Linked DNA regions of Diceros bicornis minor. The protein of the gene in region 2 interacts with the protein of the main gene of each other region in a pairwise test. Links are inferred from orthologs where the notes say so. Each region holds a gene or a part of one and is shown on either strand. Other genes may lie near its edges.

Region 1 (7,935 bases), on a different chromosome or scaffold from region 2:
ATTCAAAATGGTTGGAAAAGAAAGAATGAAATTATAGGCATCTGATCATGCAAAATATTTCAATGGCAACAATAACAACAGAAGAATAGAGTGTAAGGGCCAGGCTCAGCCATCAAAGTATTGTGTTTACAGTCTCGTGTGGACTTCCGGAGACCTTGGTGTGGCGAATGTTCTGACTGGCTCTGCAGAAGTCCTCTGATCAGAGTGGGCCCAAGGCTATACTGAAGTGTGACTTTGGGCCTCCCTTTCTGTACCCTCATCTCCGGATCTCCTGTCATGATGCCATGTGTCTTTTCACCTGAGCACCAAGACTTCTCATGTGAACTCCTCAAAATCTAGCACACGCTCATACAGTTCCTCATTCTGATCTTCCCTCCCTATCCATACTCCATGCCCCATGAATAAAACAGATTTGTTTTGCGGGCTCCAATCAAAACTTACGTATATTGACTTGTCCCTTCCAGTCCTTTCTGTGTGTTAGCTGTTCTTTTCTGTGCCAAGGTGTGATAGCTAGTAACTGCATCCTCTGCCAATGGCACGTTATTAGACAGTTACTGAAAATATAATGCTATTACCTAATAGTGATAAATCTAACATTTCTGGGAGATGATGTAGGTGGGCTAGCAACTCTATGGGGCGGGAAGAGTAGGGATTAATTACTGTGTCCTTCAAATTGTACTTGCTAAATAGCCTCTCTTAGCCCTCCTTCACTGCTAGAACTACCTAACAGAGAGGAGTGACTCAGGGTGCCCTCTTGTGGTGGACAGACATTCCCAAGGCCCTTTTCTGGAATGAGAGGTAGCCCTAGAACTGTCCCTTTATTATTTAGATTTTGTTGTCATCATTAGCAACATCTCCCAATTCAAGAATCTAGAAATAATATAATGAGATGCTAAAAACAAATTTGAAAACAAGCAAGATCTGTCTCTAGTTTTAATAAATATCCCACATTTCTCAAATGTTTTATTGTTTTGTTTCCTCAGCATACAGACCAGTATTTAAAAAGAACAAATAGCTTGAAACTGTTTCTTTTGAATATTTCTGTCATCTGGAAATGCCTGTACATAAGCCCCATGACAGATCTGCTTGGCTGAAAAATCTGTTGACATGTTACCAGCCCTCAGAATAGAAGAGAGAGCCAGCATCCCATGATTCTAGGGGGAAAACATCCAGCCCTGGGAAAATAGCACATTAGCTGAAACACAGCAATCTAAATATGTAACTTCCATGGGTGATAAATACTCTGTGTGTGACTCTCATAATTTTATAACCCAAAACAGATTCTTGTAAATATCAAGATTATGTTTCTTTTACTAACACAGAGTCCAAACTCTGCCATTCTAGGACTCAACACAGGATTAAATTTGACAGAATCAGTTGTGCAACTTTATAAAAATTAAGAAACCTGGGCCACACCACTGAATGGTCTGATTCAGAAAGTCTGGGGGAAAGTTCCAGCATTAGTAATTCTTTAAATAATTCTCTGAGTGATTGTGCTATACAGCAAGGGCTGAGAGTAACACTATACTGTCCCCTTGAAGTAATGCTGTGGCGACTATGGAAGGGGCTCTCCGCATTTGTTTGTAAATTTATTTCAAGGTAGTGAGCTATTCAGGATGTGGGCAGTCATGCTGTAGGTCACATTTCAGGGATCTTCAGAGTTGACCTAGCTTGCTGAGGACAAGGACATGTCTTATTCTTCTTCCAGTCCTCCGGATCTAACACTACACCTGGCACAGACTTGGCTCATGAATATTTGTTAAATGAAATGTTAATTGGAGTGTCCAAGACCTCTCCCTAGGAATGGAAGATAATTTAAGATTCAAGAGACTTCTACTAAACAACTGATATCATATATCGTAAAGTGCTTTGAAAACTGCAAAGAGCAAACATTATTCTAGAAGGAAGGATTATTTAAAATATGTCACCTATAATAGCCTCTAAATTTTAATATGCATAAGAATGAGTTCAGTTTTTCAAAGTCATCTTTTTTCCAATTTTTTCCATCTCCTTTTCAATGAAAGTAGAAATACAGTACCCCTTTACTGGTAAATATCTTTAAAGAGTAAAGCAAGAAAGGACTGAAAAACTATACAAGCAAGAAGTCAGAAGCCACCCAGTCTCATGCACAGCCAGTGTCATCATAGCATTAAGAGATTAAATAAATAACTGCTTTGTGATGCTTCAAGATTTTCCTGCCAACAGGATACTGTAAATTAAATGTGTACTAGCATGCTAAAGGCAAAGTTGGTGCATTTATCCCTGGATTTTTTTTCAACCACTAAGTTAAAATCCTTTTGTCTTCGTATTTTGACCCAGGATTTATATAGCTGAAGACACAAGCCTCTTTAGATAAATAGTCATCAAGATAAATACTCTGCTATATGACTCCTATGTTATACTTGGAAGATGGAGTATCATCTCCCTCATTTGAACTTAGAAGAAAACTGAATTTAAAATTTAACAAAGCCAGAAATCAACCTCTTATGACCAAAACTCTTATCCCTTTATTCTATCCCCTTCCCTTGAACTCCTTGGAATTTTGAACTTCAAGGCACTCCACGAGGAATGAGAAGACCTGGCTTCTATTCCTGGCATTTCTAGTAAGTGGCTTTGTGACCTTGGGCAAATGACTTAACATCAGGTCCTCTTTCCTCAGCTGTAAAATGAGAAGGATGGCTAGATGATTTCAGAGGTTCTTTCTGGCTCTAAATTTCTATAAGTCTGGGAACACCTGCTAGTGACATTTATGCACTCAGTACTCCTTTTTCACTCTTTCCAAAATGTTTTAGTTTGTGGCTTAATATCATTATTCATATAGACCTTTTCACATCCTCTCCAGGATTTTCTTTTTTGTTTCTTGACAGCAGCTGTTGTTTCTACATTTACTTTACACTGTCTTGTTATACACATTATTTTTACATATTTGTTATGCATTGAAATAGGATTAGTGTGTCATCGGATTCTTCCAAATTCTCTCCAATACATAGAGCAATCATTTGGGTCAATTTAGTATTTGAAGGTTTAAATATTTAAATGGTTTAAAAGTAGCCTGGATTATGTAACAAATTGCATCTTTTCCATAAGATTTTCAGCATTCTGACATCTGCTTGAAAATGTCAGGGACTTTTATTTAACTCTGAATATCACTATATGGCTGAGTACACCAGCATCAGTCTTTTAAATCCCTTCATTTTATGTACGTAACAGTAAGAACTTTTCTTAAAACAAAAGCTTTTAGTGGAAAGGTTCAAAAATACCTGTGCAGAATATTTATTGCCTTCGTATGCCATCGTCTAATTGTGTGACTTTATTTCTTTTGGGTATGAAATATAGCATGGAAATTTTAGCTAATATATATTTTTAAAAATTCAACAGAAAGGGTTTGTAAATACTAGAATAAGTGGTAGACTTGGAGTGAAATTCTTGTCAAAGTCTTTCCCTAGTTTTTGAATCTATATATAATTTTGTGTCAACTTTACCATGATAAAAAACAAACGAATCCCCTGCAGTAAATAATTACTGGGACATCCATGAAAAAGGGCAGTGAAATAGGTACTATTGAGTGATAGTATAGAGTATAGCTCAACATAATTTCTCCTATAACTTAGCCACATATTATCTGAAGTTCTGATAGGATTTAGAAACAGTCTTAATTTTACAAAGGACACGTGGAAATTAAGAAATCTAGAGAGGAAGAGAGGGTAGGGGGAACACTGTTATTAGGTAATTCTGTAGAGATGCTTTGAGGCAATCCCCCCAGGATCTTCCTCCTGTCCTCATAAGGATGGAGGCAGAAATGAGCTAACATAACTTGTGTGCCCGGCACTCATACTCTTACAACAATTTCATGAAGTAAATATGATTATCCCTTTACAGAAGAAACAGAAACTCAAAGTTCACACAGATAATTGGTGGCAGTGGGATTGAAACCAAGATCTCTGTGACAAAATTCAGAGTTGCAAGAAACTGGTTCCAATCCCTACTTCTCTGCATGGGTGTGCGTTTCTGTGCACTTCCGCAAACTACATTACCTCTCTGAGTCACCGTTTTATCAGTAAGATTGGGTTAACAATACTTAGAGACATAGTTGCTCTGAGGGTGAGCTATGATAAAGATATATTCAGAGTACTTAGCACAGAGACTTGCAGAGAGCTATCCCTCCATGAGTAATCACTATTAGTACTATAACTGTTATTGTTGTTGTTATTGATTTTGAGATTATGATGCCAGGCTTTCAAGACACAGAGTATGATTTCATTCAATTGTCCTACATGTACTAATGTCCTACTATGAGCAGGTTATTATTCTTAAACTTTTTAGCTCCCCATGAAATATTTATCTGAAAGCAAGCAAAAATAATGTGAAAGTGAAGATGTAATGCTTTAACGACCACACAGAGAAAGTTCTTCAGACTTGATGATAAGCCTTATTATTTAAACTCTTATCTAGGTTATTTTGAGAATTAGACACAAATTGCTGTAGATGCTTCCTTTAACTCCATTAAACCAAACATGAGCAGATGCATGTGTGTACAAGTTCACACACAACCTGGAAATGTTGCTGGGGGGGATTTCCAGGACAGATGGATCTGGTTATGGTTTAGGGAGCCTCTCCATACACTTGGGCTACAGCACACCTCAGTTGAAAACAAGCATGTGAGTATCTCATTGGTTTTTTCCTTCCCTTAATAAGTATCATCCTTTCCCATGGGCTCCAGTTTTTTCTAGCAGAAAGACATTACTACCACTGTAGATATAGGAAGCAAGCTGTCATAGAATCACAAAGAGCTAGGAGGTTGGTGTTTGTATATGTCCCATTTCTATTTTATTTAAAGACAGAAGTTTTTAAATCTTTTTGAGATCCTATATATCTTTTGAGATCACAAATCTTTTGAGATCATATATCTATAAAATTGCTACATGTGTTGTTCTGCCACATCCAGACACCAACTTCTAAAGGCACTGAAAAGTGCATTCTGACACGAGCTGAGAAGGGGAAAGAGAGAGATGCAAGGAGATAATTCTTGACTGTAAAAAAGGAGTTTACTTTTCCAAATAAAAGAAATCTAAAATGGGCCACTGTCTTTGTGTGCTGTTAACACCAGCTCTTTTGGAGAGTTTGAAAATGCTCGGCTCCATGATAAAAGCTAAAAATGTCCTGGACGTGGAGTTGTTTACCCAGAGTACGAGCTGCTCTAAAGTTACAGAGCTCTGGTTGGAAGCGGTGGCTGGAATGCCGCCTCCGGGTCACTGACGTCACAGTAGTCTCAGCTGCCGCTGTGATACTGAATTGAGCAGCTTCGTGACTCGTGAAAGTGGTGAAGGTTCCAAAGGGGCTTGTCAGTACCGCTCTGTTGAATGGTCAGACTTATTTTGCATTCCCATTTCTTGCAAAGAAGCAAGATTCACCAAGCTGAGACTTTTCTCTTGAAAACAACTAGCTGTCCTTTCATTGCTAGGTTGACCACTGGTCGAACATCCATAGGATTTCTCGCTGGAGCAAAAAGGTATGTTTCTTTCGGGCAGTTTGAATGCAAGTGACTAATTGTGGCAAAATATGGAGGGACTGCTGCTGCCGTGTTGTAAAGTGTGGATACTGTTTAAGTGGAGGATGATGTCAACATCTGTCTGTTTCAGTGTCTGTGTCTGGGTTTGAAAACGGTGGGGCGGGGTGTGTAATGGATTTTACTGACTCCCGGGGAAGAGAGGGTTCAGCTGCTGTGAGTGGATTTCTCAGCTCTGGACTGATGGTGCCATCCGCTCTCTGAGACAGTGTTTTTCAAACACGGCTTCTCAATACTTTGAACAGCACTTTGCCTACCGTGGGATTTCTCTAAATATATTTATTAGAATGCTACTTTCATTAGGATGAGGACTTTTTAACATTTGCAAAGTAGAGTTCACAACCCTTGAGATTGCTGATATTTGAAAATTGCAATGAAAAATAAATGTAGTTTCATCCAAGATGATGGTTTGCTCCCTGCATGGTGAGTGTTTCTGTAATTTGAGTTAAGTGCATGCCATTCATAATGGGTTCATCTGCAATTAGGAGAGAACCTTACCACTACATCTTCTGTTTAAACTGGTTAATTTTAGATATTTGTTTACCCAAGCTGAAAATTTCTTTCAAAGCCTCTATTTTATAAGTTAAGAGAAGTAAAATCAGTGCACCTATATCTTGGATGTTTTCTAGTTTGAGTGTATAAGTGGAGAGAAAACAAGGAAGGAGAAGATAATAAAATGAGAATGCAAAGTTGGTTTCTTTGGAATTGCATGTGGCAGTATTGGAATATGAAGAACATGCTGAAATAGCGAGAAATAGTAATAAAAAATATTCCCTTTTGCCCTGTAACAAAATCAAATCATGGTTGTCTTTGGAAAGATGCATTTGCCAGAGAACAATAAGGGAGGAATAAGGTCTGTTAATCAGTTGAAATGATGCAGGTGACTCATAGTAGCCTGGATAAAGGGCTAGAGAAACTTGGAGGCAAATGGTGCATAACTCTGATGGGTATGGGTGTGGGGATCCTAATTCCTCAAAGTTCAGAGGAAGCAAAGCATCTCCAGGGCAATGATTCTTCTAGGAATTGTGAGATTGACAGCACCTACTCTGTGTGGCATTCCTATTGGAATATGTAATCTCCTACAAATGAAAAATCTCCAGTTATCCGAAAACTAATATGTTAGGAAAAGGAAGTAGGAGAGCAAGAAACAAGTATTCTGAACAAAAATCTCAGAAGAGAGAAGTAACATCGGAGTCAGCTCCCCTAACACTGTTTCATTTGTCTGGCTGAAGTCCAGTTTCCAGTGGGGCAGTGGGATCTTGAAATGGTAACGACCAAGGTGTAGTAAGAATGGAACACCCCTCCCACAAAGAAGTATGATCATGACCAAATTGAGGCTAATGTGGGAAATGAAAATGAGTTATTGTGAGACTCCTGTGGCACATTAAATCTGCTTAATAGTAGGGCTGGAAGGTTGGCAGAACTATTTTCTTCCCTTCACCGCACTTATGCAGCCCACTCACAACTCTACCGTTCTGGCTTCCGGCTGTGGGGAGGGGGAAATGGGTTGAAATGGATTAGGGAAGGCTGACTTGGAGTTGTTGGGTGAAGAACGTGTGCAGGACTAAGTAATAAAGCTCACTCTCTCCTTTCACATTTGCTCTAATAAATTTTTATTCTGAATGCAATTCTAGAAGGAGTGAAATGAAATGGAGAGTCAAAGGGACACCGGAAGGGGTGCAGATAGCAGAAATCCTTCCTTCTCCCCCACATAGATGCCAGTATCTGTGGGTGAAAAAGAGTGACAGCTAAGAACAAAGAGAACTTTTATGTTTGCCTCAGTCGAGTCACTGAAAGTGAGTTTTTGAGTCTGCTGAACCACATTACCCCGTAACTTCTCCTTGCAGAACATTCTGTCCCTACCAAGCTGCCCCATTAGTTGGATTTTTTAAAAAATAATTAAGGAGAATTATAACAGGCAGTTTTATATAAGATTTGTTTATTCAAATTTTTACTAACAATAAAAATTTTCCTAAATATTTACCTTGCCGTGTGTCCTTAAGCTACTTGAAAAATACTGAGAGCAAAGAAAAATCATTGAAAATTTTTGTGAGTTCATACAATTAGACTTGCTTTTATCAATTTTCTAATTAAATAAAGATCAAAATCATCAGTTTTATGCCAGAGAAAGAAAACAGAGAGAGAGATAGATGAAGGGAAGGAGGGAGGGAGAAGACAAGAAAAAGGTGCAGGGAGAGAAGGACAGAAGGAAGAAATCAAGAAACAGGCATTTATCGAGCACCCGCTATGATCCAAAACAGGGTCAGGCACTTTTATTAAGCATTCTCTCTCTTGCTCATTTAAGCCTCACAACAACTCTATGGCCCCCCTTTATTTTTGTTAGAGGAGAAAGCATATATTCAGCCATA
Region 2 (7,637 bases):
TAAAAAGCCAGTCTCAGAGTTAGAGGCTGGGATGTGGGGGGCATGCTGGAGTGGGCCCTGGCTGAGGGGAGAAGAGCGGGGAGAAAGAGCTCGAGCTTATTAACCCCAGCGCAGCAGCCTGACCCCTGGGTCTGTGAAGGTGAGTGAGCTGATGCCTCCAACGATGATGTGCTGAGGGGCCAGGGAAGAGGAAGGGGAAGGAGTCTAGAGGTTCAGCCAGGAACCCTTCTGCAGCCACAGGAGTTGGGCGCTTCTAACCAGCAGAGCCTGGCTGGGCACAGGCTGAGGAGTGGAGAAGGACCTAACGCTGGACTGAGGCAGCCCTCCTCTGACTGAGAGCAGGAGACGACCCTTGCCCTCAAGGAGCTCCCACCTGACAGTGAACCATGGGTTCTCGCATCAGGAAGCTCCCTCCAAGGGGAGAGATGGCTTCTGTCCTATGGGTGCCTTAGTCTAAAGCGGGAGACAGACCGTATCCTTAGGGAGTTCCCATTCTGAAGGGAAGACACAGGTCCTAGCATCTGGAAGCCCCCATCCGTCAAGAGACACATGGCCCCTCTCCTTGGGATGCCTCAGGCTGAGGTGCAGAGGAGACCCACACCCACGGGAGATGCTGACACACCAAAAGCTTCTCAGACCAGATGGAGTTGTGGCCTCAAGTCTAGGGTTGGGGAAGGGCAAGGATGGAGGGACGGATCCCACCAGGGGAGTCAGCGAGGTGAGAGAGAAGGCTGGGAAAGAGCCTCTACTCTGAGTCTCCTCCGGGGCAGTTGGAGATCATGTGCATATGTCCCCTGGGAGACCCAAAGCCACGAACAACTAGTCGCCTGGGGGCAAACGGTGCTGACTCTCACCCTCTCTCCTCTGGCTGCTGCCCCCTACCCCCAAAGACGCAGCTCCCACCCCTCGGGGCCCACCCCATCACAGACGTGCTACTGTGAAGGTAGGCAAAGCACCCGGATGGTGTTATTAAATGGAAGCTATGACTTCTTGAGCACCTGCTGTGTCCAGCTTTCACTGATTTTATCCTCACAACTACCTTGGAAGTAAGGATGACAAGTCCTCATTTTACGGTTGTGGAAATGGAAACTCAGAGAAGTTTCCTGAAGTCATCCAAGATCATACAGCTATTGCGTGGCCACTGCCTTTCTCTGTCCCCTAGAGGGCACTGCCATGGCAGTCAGAGGCAACTCCAGAGAAGAAACGGGGTGATCCCCCTGGGTGATCCAAATTTGGGTTTAGAAAGCTTGCCCACAGCTGTGAGACTGGCTTTCTCCCTGCTTCTAAACGGCTGTGGCCTGGCGGCCGCTCAGACCTCAGCAGCTGAGCACTGCCATCTAGTGGCCACCGGGGCCCAGTTCCCTTCCTCAGGGATGGGCCGTGGAATGGATGGACTCAACCACCACCAAGGGGTGGGCCAGGAAGACCCACGTTCTCTTCGTACCGCCCACGCTTGCTGACCGCCAAGCTATGTCAGGCACTGGAGAGGGGCAGGGGCTCAAGCAGAGCCAGTGGGCAGCAGTCCAGTGGCAAAATAGCCACTTGAATTAGAGGCTGGCAAATTTGGAAAATGCTGGGCAACTTGTGTGTGGGTTGAGGCCGGATGTGGTGTTGGTCTGTCCCAGGAAGCATGTGGGCTCTGCCCCACAGGCAGGAGGGCATCCTGGCACAGGGGGTAAAAGATCATCTTTTCCCCACCTCGGCTTGAAGTGGGGCATGGCTTGGCTGAAGGCCCTGTGGAGGGGCGTCTAGGCATCCTTTCTCCATGGCCCACAGCTTCTGCTGTCTAGTCCAGAAGTCAGTCCAGGATTGGCTTGAGGCTTCGGATGTTGAGGCCCTCAGATTGGGGAAGCAGGAGAGGATGGGAAAGCATCTCCCATGGCGTGGGGTAGGGGCATTGCCCCGACAGGAGCTCAGGGGCCTGAGCTGGCTCTGAGAGCTGCGGAGGAGGCAAGCAGCCAGGCCTTTTCTGCAGAGCTAGAGACCCTATGTAGATGGGGCCTGAGCCAGGCCAGAAGGATGGGGGCAGCGTTGGAAGCCGGGAGGTGGGTCTGCCTGGGGCAGATGTGCATCACAGTGTGATCCAGAACAGAGAGAGAGAGAGAGAGAGAGAGAAAGAGAGAGAGAACATAATTGTCCAACAACAGGGCTTGGTTAAATCAATGCATACAGTGGAAAACCATGCAGCTGTTAAAATGATGATGTAGATAAATATTTATTGATATGGAAAGATGTTCGCAACATATTGTTGAGTGAAAAAAGCAAATTACAAAATAATTTGTACAGCATGAGCCCACTTGTAAAATGAATTTATATGTGTAGAAAAAAATCTGGTAGTGTTTATCTCCAGGTGGCAAAATAATGGCTAATTATTATTTTTTTGTTTTGCTTATCTGTATTTTCTGATGTTTCTACAAAGAATGTGTAAAAATAATGAAAGTTTGGCAAACACCCACAACCAAGCCTGTCTACCTCTTTGGTTCTCTGTGTGGACATCTTTAGATAGTTAAGGCTGAGTGTGGGGATGGGTCTGAGGGTCAGATGGGGGTTGAAGACGGAGGCAGAAAGCCTGGGCCTGTGACAGGGGCCCAGGGAGGTGACTGAAGGAGGTGAAGGCTGGGGGCCTCCATCTGCTGCTGCTGACACAAGCCTGTGTCTCGCACACACAGGTACAATCCACTGAGCGTGGCTGACAAGCCCTTCCTGCTCTTGCTATGTCTTTCCCCTCCAGGACTGCTTTGCACTCATTTCAACTAGACTTCACATGAAGGAAGCGAGGAGGCCACTGACTCGCCCTGCAGGCTGGAAGGGCAGACACTTGTAGTCACAGAGAGGAGTTGGGACGAGGGTTTGTTCCCAGTCTTGCTCTTCCTTCAATGCCCCCTGTCCTTCCCCAGCTCTCCAACCCACAGCAGGATCAAAAGTCACCGGGTGTCCCCTCCTCAAGACTCCCCTCCCTATGTCACTGCTCAGCCCCTGGGGTTGGGTGCGGCCAGAGACTTAGAGACTCTCGCCTCCTCTCTCTGCACTGGGACTCACCGGGGGGAACCTCTACAAGCAGCCTATAACATGCTCAAGTGGAGAGCATGTTCCCGGGCGTGGGGTAGGGGCATTGCCGCAAAAGGAGCTCAGGGGCCTGAGCTGGCTCTGAGAGCTGGGCAGGGGGCGAGCAGCCAGGCCTTTTCTGCAGAGTTGAAGACCTGGCAGAGCGGGGCTGGCTGCCCCCCAGGGCCTTCCCCTGGTGCCCACTGAATGACTCACCTTGGCACGGACACAATGGTCGGGAGTGGGCACAGAGCCTGCTCCCCACTGCACCCCAGCCCCCTCAGATGTTTTCCGAGAAGTTCTTTGAGCAGGGGGCTTAGGCTGCACTCCGCCTAACAGCCTGGCATCTTGGGACAAAAACAGCACAGCCCCCCGGGGGCTGCCGTTGCTGTGCGGCGCCCTCACCAGCAGTGGAGAACAAGGCTCCATTCAGCAAGTGCCCGGGAAAAGGGAGCAGAGGCCCAGGCATGGGCAGTGGGCAGAGGGAGGTGGGGAGAGGAACGCTGCCCACTTCCCAGAAGTCCAAGGACATAGATGGGTGAGGGGCCTGGGTGGAAAGCTGACCCTGTGGGACCAGAGTAGAAGGGGTGGATGGATCTGAAGTCTCAAAGAGCAACAGGGCCCTGGCCCCGGGCTCCCAGTTTGGACCCAGTGACTCCTAACCCACCCGTCCCCAGGGCCCTTCCCATCTTCTCTGCCTCATGCGTGGGAACTCAAAGGAGATAAATCTCCAGTGTGAGAGTGAGGTGAGGAGTGGCCAGCGAAACAGGGTGACGCAGGAACAAGATGGGAGTCAGGACAGCCAGCTCATTCATAACTGCTTTGTGGAGATGTCAAGGCCTAGGCTGGGGCAGGGGTGCAGGAAGGCTGAGTGAGGGAGGGGTGAGGCCAATGGGACTGAGGCAGGGGCTTAAGAGTGGCCCTGGGAGAGGGCCAGAGAGTGTAGTACCTGCCCCCTCTTGCCCTATCGGGGTTTCCACGCTCCTTCCATCATCCCCCCACTGCTAAAGAGAGGTCTCAATTGACCCTCCAGACAAAGGGCTGGTGTCCAACTCCAACCCACAGCCCCAGAACACAGGGAATGGGGAGAAAGCAGGAATGGGGGATGTCTGCATTCAGAGAGGAGGACTCCAGCAATCTGTTGGGAACGGGGCTCAGTAGGAACTGTAACATAGGCTGTTCCTTGAGGGTGTGGAATAGGTTTGTTCTTTGCTAAATTTCCGGCACCTAGCAGGCACTCAAAGGAGGAGGCTCAGTGAGAGAAGGCCTGGGTTATGGGATCTAAGAGTTGGAAGGCAGGTCAGAGGTCATCCGGTCCAGCCCTTTCTTGACCCGCCTTCCTAGAGTGAGAGTCTCCTTGCCCAGTGGTCAGGCCCCAGACCCAGCATCAGGTCCCAGGCACTGCCCATCAGTACTTCTGTCTGCGGCAAGGGGTGGGGACTGGCGTGCCCAGGAGGCCCTGCCTCTGGACACAGTGACCTCTGTGGGGTGAGAGGAGCTCTCCCCATGGCTGGGCTGCGGCCCAGCCCCACCCCCTCAGGCTATGCCAGGGGGCGTTGCCAGGGGCAGCCTGGGAAGTGCCAGGCCGGCCCACTCCTCCATAAAGCCCTCGCAACCCAGGAGCAAGCAGAGCCAGGCCAGGATGGAGAGGAGACGCGCCACCTCGGCTGCTCGCCGCTCCTATGTCTTCTCCTCAGAGGTGGTGGCAGGCCGCCGCCTGGGTCCTGGCACCCGCCTCTCTCTTGCTCGAATGCCACCTCCACTCCCGACCCGGGTGGACTTCTCCCTGGCCGGGGCACTCAACACCGGCTTCAAGGAGACCCGGGCCAGTGAGCGGGCAGAGATGATGGAGCTCAATGACCGCTTTGCCAGTTACATCGAGAAGGTGCGCTTCCTGGAACAGCAGAACAAGGCGCTGGCTGCCGAGCTGAACCAGCTGCGGGCCAAGGAGCCCACCAAGCTGGCCGATGTCTACCAGGCTGAGCTGCGTGAACTGCGGCTGCGGCTTGATCAACTCACTGCCAACAGCGCCCGGCTCGAGGTCGAGAGGGACAATCTGGCGCAGGACCTGGGCACTCTGAGGCAGAAGTGAGGAGGGGGCCGGAGGAGAGGGGCCTCATGAACAGGGAGGACTGAGCCCCCAAGAGAGAGTGCCTGCAGGCCTTCAGAGTCTCACGCAGGGAGCTCTGCCTCCCTGCTCCCCAGTTTTCCCACTTCTGGGAGGGGAAGGCTCTCCTTGCTCCCCAAGATGATGGGAGGGGCTGGGAGGAGGCCCAGAGCCTCAGGGATCTGATTCCAGGGAGCCAGGGTACTCTCAGGACCTCCCCACTGGGGAGAGCTGTGCAGAGGCAGTCAGGGACCCCAGCAGGCAGGGTCTGTGCATTTCATTCACTGCGGGGCCTTGTGACTCTGGGCGGGGAGCTGGCGGACTCTGAGCCCAGACCTGTATGAAGGAGGAGTTGGAAGGGAAGGTTGGTGTGCACTGGGAGGACTGGGCTCTGGGTAAAGGAAGTGGGAGAAAGAGTAGGCAGGGCTCGCTTCAGAACGTGGTGACTCTGCCTGTCACTAGATTATGACCCTAGTCAAGGCACTTCAACTTCACATCTGTGAAGCCAAGATCTTCATAAAACCCATTTCCAAAGGTCAGAGGGAACCACAGGGGCAGGATGCTTTGCTGAGCTGTCAGGGCACGCGCATGAGCCCTCAAGGGCAGGAGGACTCGGGTTTGTGCACTCGGTAGTGGGTGTGTGTTGGTGAAAGCGCCTGCATGAGCAGGAGCGGGTGCATCACCCCTGATAAGGCCCCTTGCTAATGAGGTAAAGTAAAGGCCCTCATCTGCTCACCCTCCTGGCCAAGGCTTCCATCTAGGACCCCTCTGACCCTCGCTCCTCCTGCTACTCCACAGTCCTGGGGGGGTCTCTCTGGCAGCCACCTCCAGAGAGATTGAGGCAGGGATCCAAGAGTCCTCAGAAAAGGAATGTGTCCCCCCACCCCAGGCTCCAGGATGAAACCAACTTGAGACTGGAGGCCGAGAACAACCTGGCTGCCTATCGACAGGTCAGGGGGTTGGCGGGGGGGCAAATGGTGGGGGGAGAGTGTTGATGGTAGCCCACCCAAGCCCAGCCCTCCAGAGCAATGTGTTGCTCTCCCCAACCCAAAAGGAGGGGTAAGACAAGGCTAGAGAATGGGGAAGAGGAGTCTGGTGTCAGAGTGGTCCTTTGCACCTTCCCTACTCCAGGAGGCAGATGAAGCCACTCTGGCCCGCCTGGATCTGGAGAGGAAGATTGAGTCTCTGGAAGAGGAAATCCGGTTCCTGAGGAAGATACATGAGGAGGTGAGGCCAGGACACAGGGGGGAAATCCCAACACAGAGACTGCAATTGAGAGAGAGACAAAGAGACTGAGACTGAGAGAGATACTCAGAGACAGAGAAAGAAAATGAGAGAGATACAGAGAGAGCCTGAGGGAGACAAAGATAGAGACAGACAAGGGAACCTCATATTTTTCTTCGCTACAGACCTGAGACAGAAACCCTTCCAGTATTATCTCCTTTGCACTGAGGCCCAGAGAGGTTAAAGAACCTATTAAGGTCACACAGTTAGTCTTTCTGACTCCACCCATTTGCCATCTGTCTCATTTAAATGAGAGTCATTCATAAAAAAAGATCCCACTGAGCTCTGACCTCAGACTATGGATTCAGAATCCGTGATCCCATGGAACCTAGGAACCCTTACAGGAACACCTACCCGTAGGGACTTAGTCACTCTCCCATGAGAATACAGGCCACTTCAGTGCTCCTGCCTGTCTGGGCCTGGGAGGAGGACACCATGGGGCCCTCAAGCTACCCCCTGCCTCCTCTAGCTTGGGCCATGCCACTTCCTCCAACTAGGACTGCCCCATTTCCCTTAGCCAACGTCCACGTCTGAGGGGCAGGCAGAAGAGGGCATGACACTGTGGGGGAACCCCAGTTGCGGCCTGGGCCCTGAGACCTAGCGTCACTTCTCTCTCCCCGACCAGGAGGTGCGGGAGCTCCAGGAGCAGCTGGCCCAGCAGCAAGTCCATGTGGAGCTGGATGTGGCCAAGCCAGACCTGACAGCAGCCCTGAGGGAGATCCGCACACAATACGAGGCAATGGCATCCAGCAACATGCACGAGGCAGAGGAGTGGTACCGGTCCAAGGTAGCCCTGACTGTAGGCCAGCCTGCCTCCTCCAGGCAGCCCTCCTGGCTCCATACAAGAGAATTGGGGAAGGAGGGTGGAAGGAAGCCAGGAGAGGATCCTCTCTGGGTAACTGACCTTCACCAGAGAAGAGAGGTGACTTGGCCAGGGTCACACAGGCACTCTTACTCCCAATAAGTAATTATTATTATTATTATTATTGCTACTATTACTATTATTATTAGCCAACATTGTTGTGTGCCAGGCCCTGTGCTTTGTATGGATTATCTTACTATGAAGTAGGTACTATTCTTTGATAGATGAGAGAACTGAAGTCCAGAGAAGTTAACTAATCTGCCCAAAGTCACATAGCTCCTAAGTGGTAGAGCTGGATTTCCAACCCCAGCCATCCCTCTTGGGAGCCTGCATTCTTGA
Region 3 (7,410 bases), on a different chromosome or scaffold from region 2:
CGTCCTGTAGACAGGTTACTTATTTTACCCTCAGCCTAGGGTTTCTGGAGGAGGAAGGGGGTTCCCACTGAGGACGTGCTGGACACCCGGAGACCCACGGGCAGCATTTCCACCCGCTCTGGGGAGGGCACCCCAGCCTGGCGGGACCCGGTTTTTTTGTTTGATTTTCACTGCGGCTTTTCAGGGGCAGAGTGTTAGGGGACTTCCCACCTGAGGACAGAACGATGGCATCATGGCACATTCAGGCGGGACTGGGTTTTAGAAAAGGGGGTGCCCTCTCTTTGATTTCCAGAGCAGAAAGCCGCAGTCCATAGCAGTGGGCGGCTTGTAGAGTCGAGTAGCTGGTGGATGGAGGGGCCACCCTGAGCTCAGAGCCCCTTACCCCGTCCCCCCAACCACCCGGCACCCGCTCCGGTGCACCATGCCGATGCCTTTGGGGGCATTCACAACCACCGGTAAATTCTCTTCCTGTCAGACATAACCTGAGAGTGGTGACCTCTCTTTCACATCAGCAAAAAATGGCTCTGCCCTCTGTACTCAACAAATCACATGCATTTTTTTCTTCTTTGACAGTCACATTTGAATTAAATCAGATTTTTAAGTGAAGAAAGCCTTGTGCACGGTTGTCTCTTTTTCATTTTACATTTTAAATGTGAGCTCTTTATTCCCTTCCCTTGGTGCTGGGTGGGTAGGCGTGGAGGTGGCCCCTGCCCCGCCCAGAGCGCACTGGGCACTTCCCAGTGTCCATCCCGCAGAGTCCTCAAAGCACGGGCACCTCAATCCAAACGCTCCACGTCTGCAAAGCCAGCCCCACTCACCAGTCCGATGCCTCTTCCACTGTCTTTCTTCCGGTCGCTGCCAATGCCTTTAGCCTGTAGGGAAGCAGAAGGCAAGGAGCATTCAGAAGCCTGCCTTGCATTCTCAGGGAAGGGATGAGAGAAGCAGGGGCAGCCCTACAACTTGTCGGACCTTCGTATCGGACATATCAGGACCTGGAGGGGCTGGACTGCTAGACTCTGCAGCTGGCAGCTTGAGTGTCCAGGCCTCTGTCCTCCGAGAGGCATCACTGTGGTTTTTGAAAATGCAGACCTGCTCACACCACCCCTGCTCATTTTCCTTCTGGGGATCCCTCCCTGCAGTCCTTGGCACCGAGACCAAGGGCTCATGCCCTGAGGTCCACCCATGCCTGCAACCCCATCTGCTCCACCCTCCCCCATGCACCCTGCACCCAAGCCAGGTGGACCCACTGGCTATGATGGGTCATATCCTCGGCTTGCACACGTGCCTCCCTGCCAAAATGCGGCCCTGTGCTGACATGCCCTCAAAGACATGGCCCTGGGTCTTCTATGATTGTTTACACGTCCCTCCACCAGGAAGTCCTCCCCGAACCGCCCAAGCAGGGTGGACGTGCAGCCCCTCCTGTGTTTCCCCACCACACGTGTGGTCACCTTGCTTCTCATCTCATTGAACTCGTGTCCGTTTGCCTCCCCTACCAGACCATGATGTCCCTAGGCCTAACGATGTCTTACTTATCATTGTAACTGGATGTAAATATATTGAATTGAATTGAACTGAACCTCCAAATTGTACAGAGTGAAACCCGGCTAAGGTAATGCATTCAGGGAGTCGGCCCGGAAGTGGCTGGAATTGTTGAGGAACCCAGTACGGTGCCGCCCAATACCGACGGGATGTGGCCACCTGGATGGGTTTTAACAGGGAGGCCTTGGCTCCAGGCTTCCCTGGGGTGCTCCAGCCTAAGGGAGAAGTTTAAACATGTTTCTCTACCCCCAGCATACGGCTAAGGTTTAAACTAGAAGGAATTTTGGGTATGCGTCCACACTACAGCTTCATTGATGTAATAAAGCCTGGGCTCTAGAGGCACCGAGAATAGGGTTCCTGTCCTGCTCTCTCTGGCCTCAGTGTCCCCATCTGCACCTGTTGGACGATGCCCAGGACGGTGCCCAGCACACGGCAGGCACTCTGCTCGTGCTTGCTTCCATTCCCACTGCACAGACCCCCGGATTATTATGAACATAGTGGTGACGACCGAGTCCTGAATTGGATTGGAGGTGCAAGGGGTCTAGCTTCAAAGTTATTTCATCCACTTGGGTCAGGATTTTTGTTACAATGTTTAAGGAAGGTTTGCCCCGCTCTCAAATCCAAGGTTACCTAAGGGGACTTCTGATGTATTTTCCCATATGAATAAGCATGTGAAAAGGACCAGAACTAAGCAATCAATTTCCCGTGGAAGCTGTAACCCAGGGTCAGGATCATAGTCATTGATTTTGGGGATTTCTCCACTCTCTGAGAGGGGTAACTCCTAAGGTTAAAATCTTCCGTGTGGACGTTTTTCCTGGGTGAGTAGGATTGTGCTGACACTCTTCCGGTAGTTTCTTCATCATTTTGTTTCGTTTTCAGACATTCAAGAGATTTTCCCTAAGCACTAATGGTTTTCCTGCACTGTTTAGAAACACAGTCCCATCTCAACAGGTCCCAGCAATAGAGACTCACTGGGCTCTGGGATCTTTCAAATTAGAGTTTGAAATGTCGTCTCAGAGTCGCCGAGCTGCTCACAGAGACGGTACAACCAGGCCCCAAGCTCCTCCAAACTCTGAAAAATGGGGCTGCCATGGTAATACTTGGTTTCTAATTTTCACAAATTTCAGTGTCCCCCCCATCAACCAGCTGAGTTTGTCTTTAAAAAGAAAGATCAAGTTATTTATAAAAAGCAGAAAAGGGTCTTATTTTGAGACAGTGTCTCATCCTGCGTGGTGTACCCCTTCGACAGGAAGCTGGTGCTCGGAGCTGCCTGCAGTTTCACAGAGGAGCCACGGAAGGGTCAGGCTCGGGGGTCGCAGGCTCCCCTAGCCAGGGCAGTACTCACGCGGTGTGTGCCGGGAAGCCCATCCCCAGGAGGGAGTCCAGGAGGGCGGGGGTGCTGCGGCCCTTGAGCTTGTTGGAGATCTTGGCGTAGAGCTGAGTCTCCCCGGCTGCCATGTCTTCCTGCCTGCAGGCTGAAATGAGTAGATAAAGCCAGAGAGGGAGAGGCAAGAGAGTCTGAAGCTGTGAAGAAAAACCTCAAGCCTTTTTTGATCTTTCTAACAAAAGCTAATATCCTGTTTGCATGAGATACTGGTTTTCAAAAATCTCTTTGTGGGGTGCTGGGGTGCAATATCCACCAAGCCTCTTTCCACAGCGCGGTTTGGGATCCGGAGGTCCAACCAAGCCTTTGCACTGACGTGGGCTGCATTGGGGAGCAAGTCTGCAAGAGAGGGAGAGCGAGGGGGCAGGACGAGGGAGTGGAACCAGGGGCAAGTGTTCTCTACCAGGTCCCACTGACTGTAGAACCCCAAGCGACCCTGGATCTAGTCTCCTTATCTGCAAGCAAGACATTAAACTACGCTGTATCTATTTTCCCTGCTAGCTCTGAAATTTTGGGTTTCTTTAGTTATTCATTGACGTTTTTTTTGATTTTAAAAACTTTTAAAGTTTAATATGCGTGCAGAAAAGTTGACAAATCATATGTGTACAGCTCAATGAATCTTCATAAAGTGAGCACACACACCTAACCTTCCCAGGACCAGCAATTAAACAGTGGTCCTCAACCAGAGGATATTGGCCTCCATCCCCGGGGACCGCTGGCAGTGTCTGGAGACATTTTTGGTTGTCACAACTGGAGGGGATGCTTGCTACTGGCATCTAGCAGATTGAACCCAGGAATGTTGCAGTGCACACGAGAGCAAAGAAGGATCCAGCCCAAAATGTCAATAGCATCAGGGTTGAGAAACTCTGCTTGAGAACATTACCAGAACCTCAGAAGCACCCCTGCTCTCAGCCCCCACCCAGCTTCCTAGTTGTCTCCTCTCTCACCCCAAAAGGTAACCGCTGTACACACTTGCACATTAATTTTGCGTATTTTTGAAACTTATATAAATAGAACCGTACAGCATGTACTCTTTCGTGTCTGGTTTCTTTTGCCTAAAATCACGTGTGTGAAATTTATCCACATTGTTGCTTGTAGCTGTAGTTAGTTCCCTGTATTGCTGTGTAACATTCTATCAGATAAATGCACCATACTTTATTTCTCCATTTCTCTGTTGATGTACATTTGGGTGTGTTTCAGTTATTTTGCTGCTGTGGATGTTCTTGTATACATCTTTTAATGCCCAATGTATGCATTTCTGCTGGGTACACACCTCGGAGTGGGATTTGGGGGTCATAGGATATGTGCAGACTTCATTAAAAACTGCCAAGCAGTTTTACAAAGCAGTCGTTCCAATTTGCCCTCTCGCCAGCAGTGGATGCGAGTTTCACCTGCTCTGCATCCTTATCCATACTTGATACTGTCAGTCTTTTTAGTTTTAGCCAATCTAGGTGTGTGTAGTGGTATCTCACTGTGGTTCTAATTTGCGTTTCCCTGAATGGCAATGACATTGAGCACCACGAGACAGCCTATTGGCCATTTGAAGAACCTCTTTGGGGAAGGGCCTGTTCAAAGCATCTGCCTTTTAAAAAATTGGGTTGTTTGCTTTTTCTTATCAATTTGTGGGAACTCTGGAGATAAGTCTTTTGTTGGATGCATTTAATGGTAATAACTTCTTCCAGGCTGTGGTTTGCTTTTTTAATCTCTTAATAATGTCTTTGAGTGAAACGAAATTTCTTAATTTGAATGAAAACTAATTTATCAATCTTTTCTTTTATGGTTTGAACTTTCTGCATCTTGTTCAAGAAATCATTGTTAACCCAACATTGATGAAGATTGTCTCCTACATTTTCTTTTTGAGGCTTTACTACTTTTACTGTTCATATTTAGCTCTATGGTCCATTTGAATTAATTCTTTGTATGGGGTGAGGTAGGGGTTTATGTTCATTTCTTTCCCCATACCTGTGTTCAATGAAAAGACCATTCTTTGCCCAGTGAATACAGTAGAATGTTCATTATAAATCAGGTGACTGTATATGTATTAGTCTGTTTCTGACTCCATTATGTTCTCTTATTGGATTTGTCCATTTTTGTGCCCATACTACACTGTTTTAATTACTATAGCGTTAAGTCCTCTGATTTTGTCTTCTTCTTCAAGATTGTCTTGGCTCCTCTATGCTCTTTGCTTTTTCATATAAATTTAAAAATCAGGTTGCCATAGTGTGCCATTGGAGAGCACAGAAAGACCCCCATATGTGGTCATTTGATTCCCAACAAAGGGACCAATGTAACTTAATAGAGGAAAGGATAATATTTTCAACAAACGGTGCTGGAAAACTGCATATCGTTATGGGAAAAATATAAATTTCAACCCTTACTTCACATCATGCACAAAAACTAACTCAAATTTATGATGGACCTAAATGTAAAAGCTAAAACTATAAAACTTCCAACAAAAATGTAGGAGAAAATTTTTTGCTACGCTGGAGTTTGAAAGCTTTGTTATGACACAAAAAAATATGAATCATAAAAGAAGAAAATTAAGATGGACTTCATCAAAATTGAAAACTTCTGCTCTTTGACAGACACCATAAAGAAAATAAAAATGTAAGCCACAGACTGGGAGAAAATATCACCGTAGATACCTGACAAAGGACTTGTATCCAGAATATACAGAATATAACATAATGTATTTCTGCATCTATTATATATGTATATTCTCATAATCAATAATAAGAAAAGGAGCAATCTGGTTAAAAAATGGGTTAAGTGGTTAAAGATATGCAAATGGCTAATGAAGACGTGAAAAGATATTCAACATCATTAGTCATCAGGGAAATGTAAATTAAAACCACAATGTGATACCACAACACAGTTAGTAGAAGAGCTAAAATTGAAAAGACTGACAATATCAAGTTTTGACCAACCGTGGAATAATTGGAACTTTCACACATTGTCCAACCACTTCCAGAAAACATAGTCTTATAAAGTTAAACATATTCTTACTATACGACCAATCCACTCTTAGCTATCTCCCTAGGAGAAATGAAAATGCATGACCACACAAAGACTTGTATGTGAAATGTCTGTAGTGGGTTCATTCACAGTAGACCCAAATTGAAAAGAATCCAAAAACATACAACTGTTATAGACTGGTGAATGGATACAAAAATTATGGTACAGTCATGTGTTGCTCAGTGTTGGGTATACGTTCTGAGAAATGCATCGTTAGGCAATTTCAGCATTGTGCAAACATCATAAATCGTACTTACACAAACCTAGATGGTATAGCTTACTACACACTTAGGCTATATGGTGCTAATCTTATGGGACCACCATCGTAAACGTGGTCTGTCATTGACTGAAATGTCGTTATGCAGTGCATGACTGTGTATTCAATCAGTGGGATAACATATATCAATAAAAAGGAAGACATCACTGATTCATAGAAGAACATGGATGAATTTAAAAGAACATTGTTGACTGAAGGAAGCCAAACACAAGATATAGATACTGTACGATTTTATTTAAATGAAATTCTAAAAAAGGTAAAACTGACCTATGAAGACAGAAAGCAGATGAGTGGTTGTCAGGCCAGGGTCAGAGGGAGTTTTTGGGGGTGATGGAAACGTTCCACATCCTGATTTGGTGGTGACCAAATGGATGCATAGATCTTCAAGACTGACTGAATTGAGCACTTAGAATGGGTACAGTTGATAGTGTGTAAATTAAACCTCAATAAAATTGATTTTAAAAAAGGAAAGGGAAGGGGCCAGCCCTGGTGGCCTAGTGGTTAAGTTCCATGCGCTCTGCTTTGGCGGCCGGGGTTTGGTTCCCAGGTGTGAACCTACACCACTCGCCTGTCAGTGGCCATGCTATGGGGGTGGCTGACATACAAAAAAGGGCAAAAAGAGAAGGGTTGGAAGCAGATGTTAGCTCAGGGCTAATCTTCCACAGCAACAACAACAACAAAAAAGTAGATTTTGGGTCTGAAGTGACGGCCTCTACTCAAATATATTTATCTCTTCTAAATAGTAAACTACCTTTTCAGCAATTGTGCTTATAACATATTAAAATGTAAATTTCTCTTTAAAAAAAATCTTACTTGTGTAAGCCAGGAAACGCCCTATCTAGCTTAATCCCTTTTTCTTAGCTTGAAAAGTTATCTTCCAAGGCCAACAGCAAAAAGACTAAAGCTTCCTGACGCAGAATTTCCCCTGTGGCTGACCCCCAAGCCTCCCATCACTCGCTAAAGAGATCAAGGTGGAGACTGAGACTGTGCCTAGAACGAAGCTGTGTGCAAGTGCTTATGAAAGCTTCACAGGTCCTAGGGGAGCCCTCAGGGTAGGATGCCCCTTCTCATACCTCCAAACCAAGACTACTTAAGACTCCGGCTTGGTGAACATCAGATGCCAGCCCTAGGTGTGCTGATTTCTTTTTCCTTAAAATTGTATACTGAGCTTGATGGAACTGATCTGTAGGTTTTT

Evidence for each region.
Region 1: the proteins of GFAP (region 2) and KIAA0408 interact in binary tests that used the Homo sapiens proteins (3 or more experiments, as listed by UniProt). The link is inferred for Diceros bicornis minor from reciprocal best matches to the Homo sapiens genes GFAP and KIAA0408.
Region 3: the proteins of GFAP (region 2) and UBASH3A interact in binary tests that used the Homo sapiens proteins (3 or more experiments, as listed by UniProt). The link is inferred for Diceros bicornis minor from reciprocal best matches to the Homo sapiens genes GFAP and UBASH3A.

What each region holds. Positions count from the first base shown.
Region 1 is NC_080762.1:10,196,134-10,204,068, forward strand, and holds the start of KIAA0408 (uncharacterized protein KIAA0408 homolog), read left to right. Parts: upstream 1-4,930; 5' UTR 4,931-5,360; coding exon 5,361-5,509; intron 5,510-7,935.
Region 2 is NC_080757.1:43,359,546-43,367,182, reverse strand, and holds the start of GFAP (glial fibrillary acidic protein), read left to right. Parts: upstream 1-4,623; 5' UTR 4,624-4,687; coding exon 4,688-5,133; intron 5,134-6,041; coding exon 6,042-6,102; intron 6,103-6,283; coding exon 6,284-6,379; intron 6,380-7,061; coding exon 7,062-7,223; intron 7,224-7,637.
Region 3 is NC_080766.1:42,106,210-42,113,619, reverse strand, and holds the start of UBASH3A (ubiquitin-associated and SH3 domain-containing protein A), read right to left. Parts: upstream 3,006-7,410; 5' UTR 2,998-3,005; coding exon 2,885-2,997; intron 873-2,884; coding exon 819-872; intron 1-818. UniProt on the Homo sapiens protein: Interferes with CBL-mediated down-regulation and degradation of receptor-type tyrosine kinases. Promotes accumulation of activated target receptors, such as T-cell receptors, EGFR and PDGFRB, on the cell surface.